Linked DNA regions of Oryctolagus cuniculus. The protein of the gene in region 2 binds, or shares a complex with, the protein of the main gene of each other region. Links are inferred from orthologs where the notes say so. Each region holds a gene or a part of one and is shown on either strand. Other genes may lie near its edges. The genes, in order: PBRM1 and ARID2.

Region 1 (3,826 bases), on a different chromosome or scaffold from region 2:
ATGGTGATGATTCAATTTTATCACTCCATGCTTCTGTATTAGATGAATTATTTCTTTTTTCTTTCTCAAGATGTATTTATTTATTTGAAATACAGAGTTGCAGAGAGAGAGAGAGATCTTCCATCCACTGGTTCACTCCCCAGATGGCTGCAATGGCTGGAGCTGTGCCAATCCAAAGCCAGGAGCCAAGAGCTTCTTCTGGGTCTCCCACGTGGGTGCAGGGACCCAAGGACTTGGGCCATCTTCCATTGCTTTCCCAGGCCACAGCAGAGAGCTAGATTGGAAGTGGAGCAGGGGGCCTCGAACCTCTACCTATATGGGATGCTGGCACTGCAGGTGGCAGCTTTACCCACTACACCACAGCGCTGGTCCCATGGATTATTTCTATATAAAGAATTTTTTTCCTTGTTATTTGGTTAAGCAGTGGTACAGTTTTTTGTTTGTCTTGTTTTGGAAGAATAAAAGCCTGATTTTTTTCTCTTTTTTTTAACCAGTTTTTATGATAGTATATCGGTTTACTAATACCCTCTTTTTTTTTTTTTTTTTTTTTTTTTTTTGCCAGGCAGAGTTAGACTGTGAGAGAGAGAGACAGACAGAGAGAGAGTTATAGACAGTGAGAGAAAGGTCTTCCTTATGTTGGTTCACTCCCCTAATGGCTGCTACAGCCAACACTGTGCCAATCTGAAGCCAGGAGCCGGGTACTTCCTCCCAGTCTCCCATGCAGGTACAAGGACCCAAGCACTTGGGCCATCCTCCGCTGCCCTCCCAGGCCACAGCAGAGAGCTAGACTGGAAGAGGAGCAACTGGGACTGATACCCAGTGCCCCTACTGGAACTAGAACCTGGGGTGCCGGTGCCGCAGGCAGAGGATTAGCCAAGTGAGCCACGGCACTGGCCCCCTCCAATTTGTTTTTAAAGATTTATTTTATTTTATTTGCAAGTCAGAGTTACACAGAGAGAGAAGAGGCAGAAAGAGAGAGAGAGAGGGGTCTTCCATCTGCTGGTTCACTCACCAGTTGGCCGCAACAGTCAGAGCTGCGCTGATCCGGAGCTTCTTTCAGTTTCTCCCACGTGGTCGCAGGGTCCCAAGGACTTAGGCCATCTTCTACTGCTTTCCCAGGCCATACCAGAGAGCTGGATAGGAAGTGGAGCAGCCGGGCCTCAAACCAGCCCCCATATGGGTTGCCAACGCTTCAGGCCAGGGTGTTAACCACACTGCACCACATTGCCGGCCCATCCTCCAATATTTAACTACGTTTTTGTTGGTCCTTTTTTTTTTTTTAACAGGCAGAGTGGACAGTGAGAGAGACAGACAGACAGAAAGGTCTTCCTTTACCGTTGGTTCACCCTCCAATGGCGCTGTGGCCGGCGCACTGGGCTGATCCTAAGGCAGGAGCCAGGTGCTTCTCCTGGTCTCCCATGCGGGTGCAGGGCCCAAGCACTTGGACCATCCTCCACTGCACTCCCGGGCCACAGCAGAGAGCTGGCCGGGAAGAGGGGCAACCGGGACAGAATCTGGCGCCCCGACCGGGACTAGAACCCGGTGTGCCGGCGCCACAAGGCAGAGGATTAGCCTATTGAGCTGTGGCGCCAGCCAGTTTGTTTTACATGTATATGTATCATTATTAACAGCTAGCTTTATTGCTGACTTCAATCCATTTTAGTTATTCTCCTTATTGATGCTTATGTTGTCTCAGGCTGGCTCCTGTATTCTTTTAATGTGACCATCGTAAAAAATAGTTGATAGATTTTTTACAATGTGTTGTTTCAAGATACACCAGACTTGGAGTCAGCCATTTGTGAAGGAGTCCTAAACTTTGTATGTTTCTGTTAAAAGGCCAGGATTGTTTGAAATTAACGTTTTAAAACTGTGGTCCTGAGATATACTTCTACTAAGCTGGTCATTATTTCTATGACTTTCAATGGACAGACCTAAAAAATTGAGCATGTCTATGTATATGTGTTTATATTTAAAGATAAAATGCATCGTGGCTCAGTTGATACATTCAATTGCGATTCCAGGCTATGGAGCTTTTATCCATGTTCTTGGTTTTAACATCTGTGTCTCTCCTTCTCCCACAATGAAATCTCAGTTCTGTGGGGTTTCAGAGATGATGGAATAAGTATGCCACGTATCTACTGACTTGCTGTATCCCACATTATTCACAGCTAGCTGAGCGTGACAGTACAAACTGTCCGTTCAAAAATTTGATTTCTGAAAACAGTTAAATAATCTTTTGTAATGTATTTCACTGAAGATATGTTACTGTGTTTTGCAAATCACTTGTTCCTTTCTTATGGTTATGCTACCAATTGTATACAAATTTATATTCATTTATTTCATTTAATCCATTTAACATAAAATTTCTTTCTTTCTTTAGGTAGGAAGAGTGGCATATCTCCTAAAAAATCAAAATATATGACTCCAATGCAGCAGAAGCTAAATGAAGTTTATGAAGCTGTAAAGAACTATACTGATAAGAGAGGTCGGCGCCTCAGTGCCATATTTCTGAGACTTCCCTCCAGATCTGAGCTGCCTGACTACTATCTGACAATTAAAAAGCCCATGGACATGGAAAAAATTCGAAGTCACATGATGGCCAACAAGTACCAAGATATCGACTCTATGGTTGAAGACTTTGTCATGATGTTTAACAACGCCTGTACATACAATGAGCCCGAGTCTTTGATCTACAAAGATGCCCTTGTCTTACACAAAGTCTTGCTGGAGACTCGGAGAGACCTCGAGGGAGATGAGGACTCTCACGTCCCAAATGTGACTTTGCTGATTCAAGAGCTTATCCACAATCTTTTCGTGTCAGTCATGAGCCATCAGGACGATGAGGGAAGATGCTATAGTGATTCCCTAGCAGAAATTCCTGCAGTAGATCCCAGCTTTCCTAACAAACCTCCTCTTACTTTTGACATTATTAGGAAAAATGTTGAAAATAATCGCTATCGGCGGCTCGATTTATTTCAAGAGCATATGTTTGAAGTATTGGAAAGGGCAAGAAGGATGAATCGGTATGTTTTTAAAGCCATTTCTTTTTGAGGATGTGATGTTTAGTGCCAGGCAGTTGAGTGGAAATTGCTTTGATTCAGCTTATGTGTGTGATTATAGTTGTTACCATATTATTCTGACTTAATTAGGCTGAACTTCAAGAGTGAGATATTCCATGGAGAAGAGAGGGCACACTTCTTTCTGTTTTTTGTTTTTTTTTTTTTTTGTTTTTAAGATTTATTTATTTATTTCAAAGTCAGACTTTTGGAGAGAGAGAGAGTTACACAGAGAGGCAGAGAGAGAGAGGGCTTCCATCCACTGGTTCTCTCCCCAGTTGGCTGCAATGACCAGAGCTGCACCAATCCAAAGCCAGGAGCTGCTTCCGAATCTCCCACATGGGTGCAGGGGACCAAGCAATTGGGCCATCTTCTACTGCTTTCCCAGGCCATAGCAGAGAGCTACATTGGAAGTGGAGCAGCCGTGACTCGAACCAGTGCCCATATGGGATGCTAGCACTGCAGGTGGTGGACTCACCCGCTATACCCCAGCACCAGCCTTGAGGGCACGCTTCTTTTTTTTTTTTTTTTTTTTTTTTGGAAAAAGTTACAATGAGGCAGAGAGAGAGAGGTCTTTCATCCTCTGATCCACTCCCCAGATGGCCACAGTGGCCAGAGCTGTGCTGATCCAAAGCCAGGAGCTTCTTCTAGGTCTCCCACGTGGGTGCCCGGGCCCAAGGACTTGGGCCATCTTTTACTGCTTTCCCAAACCATAACAGAGAGCTGGATCGGAAGAGGAGCAGCCGGGACTTGAACTGGCGTCCATATGG
Region 2 (2,885 bases):
AGGGACTACAGATGTAATTTACACATTACAGCACAAAAGCTGGAGCTACAGCGTGCAGTTCAGTGAGGTGGAAGATGGTGACTATGAAAATCATTTTGTCTAAGCTTGGAGGAGCCTTTGCTCTTTGCTGATTTAACTACGGTTGCAGTTTCTTATTTTGGAAATAAAGAGACAAACATTGATAGGACACAAAATTACTTCAGAAAAATCAAGAATTTTTGGATAGTAAGTGACTAGGAAGCCCCCCCACCCCACCCCCCACCTGATGTCAGTGCAAGCCTCACAGTGCCGGGAGATAATCCTGACTGATGTTGCGTGAGGTTTCTCAAAGCGATCATTTTAGAACTGGCAGGGTGCAGTGCCAGGAACCCCCTTCAGGGAGAAATCAGAGTATTCGATATCAATCGAATCCAAAATTTAAAAATTTGCATGTCCTTTCACTCAAAGAATCTGCCCCCATACTCAGTTTGAAGATTTGTTTTATACTGTGGTTCTGAAGAAACACAGTATCAATAAGATTTCAGGCAAGTGTGCAGTATCCAATAATTTATAAAAAGCGCATATTCAGCACTAACGGCACCACTCAGGCTATTATTTGGGTTTGCTTTGCATTACAGGACACAGAAATCAACCTCAGGGCCATCTCCCATGTATTTCATGCAAATGTGTCATGTAGAGGACCTCCCTCCTCTGCTCCCTAACACTCAACAGAAACAATAGGTAGGTGACCGTTTGGGCCTCGCCTTCAGCTCAACTTAGGATTCTTTATAGGTTTTTAAAAAATAGCTTAGCATACTCAGAAATGAAGGACTCAAGAAAATGTTCAGTCTTTTATTTAAAAACTATAAACAGTCACCAAAGTAAATAAAGCCATTCTATAACAGAAACTGTTAGGTCTATATTTTTTTTAACTGCACATCCTAAGGACACAGCAGAAATCGTGGTTGGGAGGCCTTCCACATTTTTGGATGCTAATAGAACAGGCAATAGGCAGTTATAAATGGGTACATTTCACGCTGGGAGGGAGAAAGACAATTTGGGGAAGTGAGCAGTATCTGAGCAGGAATGTGGTACAGTATTAAGAATGGAGAATTAGACAATAAACCCCACCTCTAGGAAGATAGAAAAGGAGTGGAGAAAGTGTACTGCACAGAATGCATTTACAGCACAGGAGAGCGCCTGTATAAAATCCCATGTATTCAAACCAATTTACAAATACAAAAATTTCTGTCCAAGCTCTGAGCTTAAACATGACAAACGCTTACAGTGGATACATGTTAGGGAAAAACCAAAAAATACCTTCAAAGAGTTTTTCTTCTACAAAAATGACATGAGATATATTACTCCATACTCTTTTCAGCCAGCAAAATGAGTTCTACAAGGTGTATAATACAAAAAGAAAAAAAAATCACAGTCCCACAAAACTGTCTGACTTTACAGCATCAGTACCTTGCAGAAGTATTTACAAAGATTGAAGAACATTCGTCCACTGCGCAGAATATATCACAATTACTTACAATTGACAGAAGTCTAGAAAACGTGAGAACCTATCGGTAATGCTTCTAGGACACCACAGAATGTATCTCCAGTGGCTGCAGCGGCATGAAAGGTGTTCCTTCTATTCACAAATATTTACAAGATCTATTCAGACTGGTAAATTTTTATGATAATAAATAAGTGAAAATATATTGGCTCAAGTAAGAAAACCAAGCTACTGATTTCTAAACAAAACACACAATCCATAGCTAGATATTGGTGGCCCCCTCTGAGACCAGGGGGTATAAGTGTGCTGAAACTTTTTAATTATTCAAACCAGCTTAAACTGTTTAGTAAATATAAAAATGTGCTCCTTTTTGGATATAGATAAAAATATTTAATGCTTCTATTTCATCTGCTCGTGAAGATTTTACAAGATCCCATGTCTACTCCAATGTGGATGGTACTGAATTCTGATCATACCGGTTCCCATCAGGACTTCAGGTCTGAGAGGCATCCTGCAGATGAGCTGATTGACAATCCCACAGCAGTTTTTTTCTTTTTAGATTTTTTTCAAACAGAGAACAAAAGGGATTCGCTCAAAGATCAGAATACGAACTTCCTCTCAACATCAAGGGAGGAGATAAAATAATTCATTCCATGGTCTCTGTTCCATTAAGACTTGGTGCTTTCTTCAGTAACAGTGTGTGAAATGTATCTGACTTGCAGTCCCCACTCGAAGTGGAATTCTGTTTCACTGCAGCATTTCTGAGTCTTGTTCTTGTTCTTTGCTCTGAACTGTGAAGTTCAGTTCATAAAGGCATTTGGCAAGGGTGGAGGAAGCTTCCATGTTACTTATAGCAAGTACTGACAGGTTGTTTTCATGTCTCTTTAGTAATCTGGAAAGAAATACAGAAAGTCATCAGTCTCAAGGTAACAGTGAAGATTCCTGATCCAAAGTTTTACGAGTTTAGGAGCTAGAACAGAAACTGCTTAGCTGCACACCCAGGCCACATCAGTGCAGCATAAAGGAAGTGGCCAGGGCCCCTCAGCGTCTTCCCCGTGCTGCCTTCCCATCTAAGGAAGCCTGCACGGCATCCCTGTCTTCATTCATGCTTTCGGAAGATTCATGTGACAGAGAACAGCTGGAGAGGAATAAAATCAAAGTTCACACCACGGGCCGAGTTTCACAGGATGAAAAGTGACTCCATCTAGCTTGACTTACTCCATTACAGCAGCTGCTTTCTAAAAATGCAGAACCACAGATGTTCCCGGTCCCCGAATCGCAACACTCACGTGCTTTGTCACAGAGATGAGAGATTACAGAAGTGAGTGTGTGACCTTGCGAAGAAGGAGTGACACTGAGCTCACACACGTTGTGAAAAGCAGACAGGATTGGCAGGGTGGAG

Evidence for each region.
Region 1: ARID2 (region 2) and PBRM1 share a complex: the UniProt entries of both Homo sapiens proteins name them as parts of the SWI/SNF-B (PBAF) chromatin remodeling complex. The link is inferred for Oryctolagus cuniculus from reciprocal best matches to the Homo sapiens genes ARID2 and PBRM1.

The regions. Positions count from the first base shown.
Region 1 is NC_091441.1:97,124,518-97,128,343, forward strand, and holds part of PBRM1 (protein polybromo-1), read left to right. Parts: intron 1-2,380; coding exon 2,381-3,023; intron 3,024-3,826. UniProt on the Homo sapiens protein: Involved in transcriptional activation and repression of select genes by chromatin remodeling (alteration of DNA-nucleosome topology). Required for the stability of the SWI/SNF chromatin remodeling complex SWI/SNF-B (PBAF).
Region 2 is NC_091440.1:136,658,271-136,661,155, reverse strand, and holds the end of ARID2 (AT-rich interactive domain-containing protein 2), read right to left. Parts: intron 2,376-2,885; coding exon 2,231-2,375; 3' UTR 818-2,230; downstream 1-817. UniProt on the Homo sapiens protein: Involved in transcriptional activation and repression of select genes by chromatin remodeling (alteration of DNA-nucleosome topology). Required for the stability of the SWI/SNF chromatin remodeling complex SWI/SNF-B (PBAF).